Tribolium castaneum: one gene and its partners. The protein of the gene in region 1 purifies or fractionates together with the protein of each later gene. This does not show direct contact. Links are inferred from orthologs where the notes say so. Each region holds a gene or a part of one and is shown on either strand. Other genes may lie near its edges.

Region 1 (3,764 bases):
TACAGGAATCTTTATACCACTCGGCGAAGTCTTGGGGGTGTCCCCGGACGTAAATCATGTTATTTAACATCGCCGTGCCCCCCAGAATCTTCCCCATGGGCCAATGACTTACTTTTTTGTCAAGCCCCAAACAGGCATGTTTCTGGGGCACCGTTCGGTACTGCCAGTCAAAAACCGAGTCTTGTAGCATGAGACTAACAGTCGGGATTTGCAAAATGCCATTTCCGCTAGCCCCAGCTTCAATTAGCAAAACTTTAACGCTGGGGTTTTCGGCGAGTCTTCGAGCGACGATGCTTCCAGCTGAGCCGCTCCCGACTGTCTCAATTTGAGTAATTTTGTTAAAACTGGGCGTCTATACCAACCTACAATGTAATCGTAGGCCTGGTCCTTGAAATCCAGCTCTCGACAAGCGAAGCACTCAAAGTAGTTGTGAAAGTACACAAATCTAAGGTATAGCCCGAATAGATTAACAGCGAGAACGTAGACACTTATGTAGAACGCAGGGTTGGAGCAACACATTGTGTTTAATTCAATTTTACACGGAAATTTTGAAATAAAAAAAGGCCGAAAATTGTCAAAAGTGAGGTTATGCCAAATAGAAGTGAGGTTACAACTAAACCACCTGTCAAGAAGTTTATTTAAATTTGTCTGGGTTATTTAGTGCTGAAAAACACGCGTAATGTTTGATTTCTACTAATTGATTTGATGCACGTCTGTAAATATAACGTATGTTTTTAATTTAATTATGAGTCTAACTTAATTAATCGTACTTTGCCCACAGGTGTTAGAATCTGATGCAACATTGTGCTAAAATACTTATTAACTTATGGGATTTATTATTTACTGTATTAATTGCTAGATAAACGCACCGATTTTGTCGATTCTGGGCCATTGTCATAACTGAGGTTATGTGCCACATCGCCTTAAAATGACCACATCGGAATCAAAAAAAGAATTAGTTAATGAACTGAATAAGAAGTACGGTAAAGATTTATTAAATTACGAAAAATGTAAGAAGATCTATGAGCAATTGCAACAAAACAAGTCTGAGATTGAAAGACAGGTTTTTAATGCAACTCCCCAAGTTCCCACCCCTTAAAGTGTGATTTTTAGTTAAATTTAAACGATGAGTCATCTTCGATTGGTAAAGTTGTCAAAGAGGCGGAAATTGCGGCACAAAACACTGATCTTTGTTTGGAAAGAACTACCGATGTTATTGACGAAATTAAAGCAAATCTCGTTGAAGTTGAAGATGTGAGGCGAGATGTGCAGAAACGTCTTGATAAATTAAATGCCTTACAAACAACCTTCCAGTACTTTAAAGTCATACAGAGAATTGAGTTTTTGAGGTTGGTCACACTGTAGTTTTTCCCCTCGCAATAATCGAATTTTAGCGACGAATTAGAACGCGAATTTAAGAAAAAAGACGATGAGCAGTGCGTCACAATTTTTGCGAATTTGTGCGAAATCAGCCGTAATTTAACTGATTTTCAAGGTAGCAATTTGAGGAATTATCTCAAGGACACTCTACACTATTGGCACAACGTACTAAAGGAAAAACTAGCAAAGTAACTGGTCTGATTTATCATTCGAGTCTTTATCTAACATTTTAGAGATTTCGATGACGTAATGAAATCACTCAAATGGCCATTCGTTAGTGCAAACTTCAGTCTACAAACGCCCTCTCCTAACAGCATTCTGAAGCTACAAATTGTGGCAGAATATCTGCTCCAAATCGAACTTCCAAGTGAGACAATTGATCCGAGGATAACTTCGGCCCTTTTGAGCGATTTTCCACCCCTTTGTCTCCCAGTTATGCTCCTAGTCCAACCCTTAAAGAAACGGTTTTTGTACCATTTCTACGGCGCCCGTCAGACCAACAGGCCTGATAAGCCCGAATGGTACTTTACCCAGATTTTAACATGGATCAGGGACCATGCCGAATTTTTAGTCAAGTGGATTCAGCCGGTGATTGATAAATTGGGGCTCCACCACATTGACGCCAAAGTAATTTTCTCTATTTAATTGTTTTTTTTATGATTAAGTTCTAATAATAAAATTTTGTTTGACAGTTGGAATTCATCAGAGGCCTTGTACAGTTGGCTGTGGAGAAGCTAAACTCTGATTTGCCTAACTTACAATTTGACGATTTCACTTTTTCGCACTCTATTGACGAAGCTCTTGGCTTTGATAAAGAATTGCGTGAAACCTACAGTTATCCACCGACGCAGCCGAGTATTTTAGCCGTTTTAACTCAAGCTAAAATCATTATTAAGTGGATGGCTATGGAGAAAAAATGTGAGTTGGCGTGAGTTCACAGCCTCCTTAAATTTAAATTTAAAATAAGAAGGAGGTTGTGCGACCAATCGCCTAGGAGATAATTTGTTCTGATAATATTTTGTCAGATGCTATGGAAAAAATGGACGCGATGATGTCCTCAGCCACAGTCGATCCTTTCGAGCCGCTAACTTACGATATTGAAGAGCTGAAAATAACAACATGTGCCGATGCTTTTATAACGCTTCTTCAGACAATCACGGAACGTTACGAGGCATTGCCACAACCCGGCCACCGCTTGCAGTTCTTAGACCTCCAGTTAGAGTTACTGGATGATTTTAGAATAAGATTATTGCAACTGGTTAACGCGGAACATGAAAATATAGTCGAATCGAAGATCCCCACGATTGCTAACACGATCTATTACATCGAGAATGTTTTAGTTGATTGGGGGGCAATGTTGGTACGGCTGGCTCGAACCGTGCGATTTGATTGGCTGAACGCAGACTTTCAGCCAATCAAATGGCACTATCTATACTTATGCAAGTGTTTCAGCACTATTTGAATTTATACTACTACAAAAGCCAGTTGAATGACTACAAAGCACCCACAAGCCCGTCAAGTGATTCGGACGACTTTGACCCCACGGATATTGAGGGTGAAACTGTTTTTGCCGAAACTTTATCACTCTATAGGCACATGAGACGCGACTTGTTATTTAATTTATCAGATTATGTCATGTTGGAAGTCAGGTCACAAGGTAAAGCCTACAGGAGGGAAAGGTGGTCCTCTATGAATGTCGGTAAAGACATCAAAGGCCTGTCTTTAACACCCACAGCCTGCCCTATTTTCGAAATCGTGGCTAAACGACTACACCAACTGCAAAAAACTCTAGCTTCGAAACTTTTTACGATAGTTTGGCGCTCGGTTGCGCAACAATTAGATAATTACCTCTTTGAGGATCTTGTCCTTGATAATAGATTTAACACTGGAGGCGCTTTGCAGTTAAAGTATGACGTAACAAGGAATTTACTGCCGTTATTTTCGCAATATACCGAAAGGCCCGAAACGTATTTCGTCCAGTAAGTTATTTACTCAGTCGGTAAAGTGGAAAATAAGAACTGTTGCAGACTGATTGAAGCTTGCAATCTTTTAAATATAACTAAAGGGTCCGCTTTGCTACTACGAGAGACTCTCTTGGCTCTTGAGGGGGCCACAGGTATTGAGGACTCCCGCGGGAGAGCCCTCAAGGAGGTTGGGGTGGTCAGCTTCACCCCAAAAATGGCCGTTAAGATTCTAAACCAGCGCACCGACATTACTGTTAATAGGATGGACGTTGATTGAAGCATTTATACGTTTTGTTGAGAAATTTTATAATAAATGTTTTCCCCACCATTGCATTTCATTGAATCACCCTGTAAGTGAATCTAGAGTAGAGTATAAAATGTTACTTCTGGGCCAGAATATTTGGCGTCTTAAAAAACAAG
Region 2 (2,408 bases), on another chromosome or scaffold:
TGCCGTTCTGTAACAAAAATTAATCTCCCGAAAAATCGCGCTCCACGAATTTGGCGCCTCTCTCAGCATTACAATAAAGGGGTGTTGGGGCACTTGCAAGTTATACGACGATTTGTACCCACTTTCTTCCAAATCAGTGATTAGCAAATTATTAATTAAAAATGCCACGTTTGGGGCGAACCTGAAATAAACCAGCCATGACAACGCCCCAGTGACACAACCCCCATACTTTGCCGTTGTTATAAGTGTGACAAAGTCAGTAATCACCGATTTGGCCACTTTGGGGTCACTTTTCACAATTTGTAAAATGGCCTCGGCTGCTAAAACACTGCCACTCATACACTTTTCCCGCAAGAGTCTGAACTCGGGCACTTCGAAAATATCACCACTTTGGCGCTTTTTCACAATTTGGGCCAGTTTTGAGACGATTTGAGTGGCCACAGTTGGGTTTTCCGAATCCAATCGGGTGCTCAATTCGTCCATGATTGAACAGTAATCAGGCACAATTACTCGATTTTTGGCCCGTTTTGGCCCACACACGTGTTTTTAAGTCAAAATTCCTTAAATAATTTTGTGGGAAATTTGAGGTTTGGTTTTTGACAATTGACATTTCAATTTTTTAATCGTTAATTATCAATTTTTGTGGCTTCGTTTTGGTAGTGTAGGTCCATGGCCTAAAATAGTGCAAAAACCACGACACAAAACCGCCCAATTTGCATAATTTGGGGCACAGTTCCCCTTACGTAACCTCACTTTTATCTGTCAAAGTTCGATTGAACACGTCGGTATTATTGAAATGAGGTGATTAAGCGAAAGTTCGTGGTCCTTTTCGTAAAACTTAGCACGAGCGGGTTTGTTTGTTGGCCAAAATGGGGCTGTCGCGTCAGGAGGTGAACTTGCGGCGCCTCCTGGCCAAGTGCGAGCTCATGTGCAAGAGCAAGCAAAAAGACGACGACCGCATGCCTAAATACGTCGAAAGTCTTGAAGACATGTACCAAGAAGTGAAAAAAATGTCAGAGTGAGTTGTCCCAAAACCCCCGAATTTTCACTAAACCAGGCGTTTAAGTCCCAACTATGAGTTCCTGCTGACGTACCAGCGCCGTATCGCAGCCATTAAGGCCGACTTGGGGATCACTACAAGTAAATACCCCCCTGAAAACGACACCGAATTGCTCCGGGAGAGCCTCCTAGGTCTGTGGCCCCTTGTAACAGTTCATGGTACTAGTAAAGCTTGCAGGCGTGAGGCACCGCAAAGGCCCCGAAACGAGCGACTTAGACCAAGTTTTGAATTTCCACGAAAACATGCAACAGAAAATCACCGACGATATGCTCATCTTGACCAAAAACTTGAAAGAACAGTCGGAACTAGCCAATAAAATTATCAAAAAAGACACCGAAGTTGTGTCGCGATCGGCGCAACTAACCGACCAAAACTATTCCAAACTGAGCGCGGAATCGAACAAATTGGCCGAGCACTCGAAACGGGCCTGGAAATGCTGGATGTGGATCATGTTACTTGTGGTTGTGGTTGTTTTTATTAGTAAGTCGCCGAATGAAATAACTTTGCCTCCTAATTAATTTATTCCAGATATGGTGTTATTTATGAAAGTGATGAAGAAAAAATAAATTACGTTCTTTGCGTTAGGTTAAACTCGGGTTTGTTTCGAGTGAAAAAGCGATTAAAGTCGAGCTGGTGCAACAACTGGACCAAGTGTTGGCCATCGGCTCGTTCATGTAACTTGTACAGAATAAACAAAAGCGAATCGACGATGGTATCGGTGCGTTTCTGGAACTGTTCAAACTCGGTTACTTCCGGTTCGGTTAACTGCGGTTGCCATGTCGACGCAATGACGCAGAAATTGTCACACAGCTCCAGCAGCTGGATTATCACGTTGTAAACCTTTAACAAACCATTAATTGTTCAATTAAACACTTAATCAACAATTATTACTTCACTCGGGACGTTAAACTGAACGGCGGGAGTTTGGTGTAACCGGTGTTTGTTTTGATAAGTGTGGCTCTGCAAAATTAATTCAGTCTAACCAAAGTAATTTCAAAACCGACTTGACTTACTTTATCAGGGGTCAGGATGAAAGTTTTCGCGAGTAAATTGCTGATGAACTCGTGATGGACTTTGATGATCTCCTCGAATTCGTTGGCGTTTTCGATCGCTTTCAAAAGTAGCGAAAATTGCGCCTCGATCACGTCCACTTGGAGGTAATATTGTAGATTATTGACTAGGAAAATTAAATGCTGGCGTAAAGTCCACACTCGCCGGTCACTAAATTTGCAAAAATTAACAATAACCGATTGATTATTTAATTAATACACACATGTTTTGTTTCCCGGACATGTGCGCTTGCCACAACTTGTGTAAGTGGATCTGAGTTCTGCTCAGCCTTAACAAG
Region 3 (2,631 bases), on another chromosome or scaffold:
AGTTATCAAATGATTTGAACAGCGATTTGAACTATCGAATGAATCATTCATTTATTTTATTCAATGGCATTGCCTCATTTAAGGAAATAAATGGTGGTCTAGTAGTAAATGACCAATCGTTACAATTTGTTTTTAATTTTTGTTTTTTTACCATTTGCGAGGGGTAAACATCTGATCTAAATCTTGTACACCATACATTCCTTATACATCCTTTTACAGTCCTGGAAATCCTTGAAGTTGTACAGCTATCCCTCGAAACACTTTTTTTGTATTCACCTAAATGATCCGCAAAAGTTGCCTTAGCGAGCGAGAAAGACTCAATTTAGGAACTCAAATATCATTCCACAACTTCTTGGGTTTAAGTTCGAAAAGCCCTAATTTTAGGCTCATATGAGTCTCTAAATTTGTCCATTATTGATTTAAGTACTATTTTACGAGTACAGTAAAACTTCTCAACAACGGACACTGATGGGGAACCTTTAATTGTCTATTGTGGAGAGGTGGAAATTTTAATATATTGTTAACTTCTTACAAAAATGTCTGTTGTGAAGAGGTGTCCGTTTTTCGGAGGTGTCCATTAAGGGAGGTTCCACTGTATTTCAATAACTGTTGATATTGAATAAAGATATTTTCAAGCAAAAACCGATCGATTAGGATCTCGAAGGGAAATTCAAAACCAATATTAGTTACATTTTAGGTTTCATCCCCTGATCGCTAGCCACCCCTACTTTAAAATTTAAAAGGAGGGAAAGGCTTAAAGAAACAAAATATTGTTTTTTTTGTTTTGTGTTAAAAGTGATATTTTATTTTTTAAATTTTCAGTCTTTACTCAAAATTCAAAACCAACAAAAAATAATCGCTAACCACGCTCTTTACCAAATTATTTTTTTAAATAAGGTAAAAATAAATGTAAGATACGTATTAATGGTTAGATCTCATTGAAAATATAAATTACATTATCTATCAATTTTTTGAAGTGTATAAATAATTTATAACAACTAATTTTGAGAAAAATGTGACGTTGGCGTTTACATACTTTTCAAAGAGCTAATACTTTAAACTAACGTTTAAATTTTGAATTGGCGCCATTGCTTGGTTCAAAAACGGAAAACCCTGCTCATGAGTAGGTTACTAGATTTACATTCCATTAGCTTAGTCGGGTGCTAACGAGCTTAAAACGATGGATTCATCCGATTACGTGCTAGAAACGTTGAGAAAAGACATAACTGAGCACAATTTACAAATTAGAGCGATAATTCAGGTGCGTATTACCCACAAATAAACCCTGATTTTTGACACGTCCGTGTTGTGGTAGGACATCAACGCATGCGTCGGCCCATTGGCTGAATTGCAAGGTTTGAATAGCGCGGGACGTTCAAAAATTTCCGCCTTGCGGAAATTCATCGACAAATTCGGGGATATAGCCAAAGAGCGCAAAAACCCCACGTTTTTGAAAGACGTAGTTTCGTATCGTGAACAATTAGCGAGGTGATTTGGTGTATTGTGTCGCATTTGTGTGAAGAGATTAATTTTGTAGCACAATGGAGGCGTTCAAAAAGGCCAATATTAGTGCGATGTTGGCCATAGAAAAGGGGGCTCAGGAGGAGTTGTTGAAACCGAAAACTGAGGAAACGGCGCTGCGTCAAAGGCAAAAACGCGATAAGGAAAATTTGGTCAAAATGAGCTCAAATGTAACCGAACAGTTGTTATCAATCAGTCGGCAATTAGCTGATACGACGAAAAGGAGTGCGGATACGCTGGACGCGCTAGTTACTTCCTCCGATAGTGTAATCGGGTCACAGGAAGAACTCAAAATAACCTCAAGTACAATTAGCCAGTCGGGGAAATTGCTGGCGAAGTATGGGCGAAGGGAATTCACCGATAAAATCCTCATGTTCTTTGCGTTTGTCTTCTTTGTGGCGTGTGTTTTTTATATCGTGCAAAAACGATTATTTTAAATAAACTTCAACTACTTTCGTTATAATGAGTTATTTTACGAGTATTGTTTTTATAGACTGAAGGACCTTGGTCCAAGGCATCTGGGAAGCCCCCAGATTACGCTAAATAAATTATTTATTGTATTGTTGTAACCACATTATTATTAAAATACGTTTCGTTATTATTGAGACATTTATAATAATAATAATATTGGGTTTTTAAAAGAACTGATTTTTCCCTCAGTTCGTACTAGCTTTTAATCACAAAGACAAAAAATCACCTACTTTAATTATAAATTCAATTGATCGCATGGTATTTAAATCTCTTAACAAAACTCAATTGATATGATTGTTTAAAACCGACGTATTTTATATATTTTTATGTATTTTCGGTTAAACAAGAATGGGGAATATAATCATAAGCTTCTTTATAATTTATGAAAGTACAGATTTTTCTATTATGATTTCTTGCTTGTTCTATAATACGCTGTTCTTTACATTCAACTGATCTTTTAATACAACGGTTTTGGTCTTCATTAATTATTCTTAAAGCATTGATCAAATTACCTTTTAAACTATCCAATTCAAATATACAGCGAAGATTTTATTTTACCGAACACCCTAATTCTATTAATCCTATGTTCAATTAAAAAAAAATCATATCAATGCATTATTAGAGTGCTTAGATCTTCTG

Evidence for each region.
Region 2: the proteins of Rint1 (region 1) and Use1 purify together in Homo sapiens (co-immunoprecipitation; 3 studies listed by BioGRID and IntAct, counting the BioPlex papers as one, with this or other methods). This does not show direct contact. The link is inferred for Tribolium castaneum from reciprocal best matches to the Homo sapiens genes RINT1 and USE1.
Region 3: the proteins of Rint1 (region 1) and Sec20 purify together in Homo sapiens (co-immunoprecipitation; 3 studies listed by BioGRID and IntAct, counting the BioPlex papers as one, with this or other methods). This does not show direct contact. The link is inferred for Tribolium castaneum from reciprocal best matches to the Homo sapiens genes RINT1 and BNIP1.

Annotation. Positions count from the first base shown.
Region 1 is NC_087399.1:3,668,366-3,672,129, forward strand, and holds Rint1 (RAD50-interacting protein 1), read left to right. Parts: upstream 1-928; coding exon 929-1,063; intron 1,064-1,113; coding exon 1,114-1,349; intron 1,350-1,394; coding exon 1,395-1,568; intron 1,569-1,613; coding exon 1,614-2,007; intron 2,008-2,072; coding exon 2,073-2,298; intron 2,299-2,405; coding exon 2,406-2,740; intron 2,741-2,832; coding exon 2,833-3,359; intron 3,360-3,407; coding exon 3,408-3,621; 3' UTR 3,622-3,670; downstream 3,671-3,764. Other genes in the region: alcohol dehydrogenase [acceptor], read right to left, coding at 1-315, 363-519. UniProt on the Homo sapiens protein: Involved in regulation of membrane traffic between the Golgi and the endoplasmic reticulum (ER); the function is proposed to depend on its association in the NRZ complex which is believed to play a role in SNARE assembly at the ER.
Region 2 is NC_087396.1:21,173,870-21,176,277, reverse strand, and holds Use1 (vesicle transport protein USE1), read left to right. Parts: upstream 1-869; coding exon 870-1,018; intron 1,019-1,066; coding exon 1,067-1,191; intron 1,192-1,237; coding exon 1,238-1,540; intron 1,541-1,553; exon of another isoform or gene 1,554-1,588; coding exon 1,589-1,626; 3' UTR 1,627-1,627; downstream 1,628-2,408. Other genes in the region: focadhesin, read right to left, coding at 1-181, 230-483; Grip75 (gamma-tubulin complex component 4), read right to left, coding at 1,628-1,900, 1,952-2,020, 2,074-2,281, 2,334-2,408.
Region 3 is NC_087395.1:17,502,671-17,505,301, reverse strand, and holds Sec20 (vesicle transport protein SEC20), read left to right. Parts: upstream 1-1,079; 5' UTR 1,080-1,180; coding exon 1,181-1,261; intron 1,262-1,315; coding exon 1,316-1,488; intron 1,489-1,537; coding exon 1,538-1,958; 3' UTR 1,959-1,984; downstream 1,985-2,631. UniProt on the Homo sapiens protein: As part of a SNARE complex may be involved in endoplasmic reticulum membranes fusion and be required for the maintenance of endoplasmic reticulum organization. Also plays a role in apoptosis.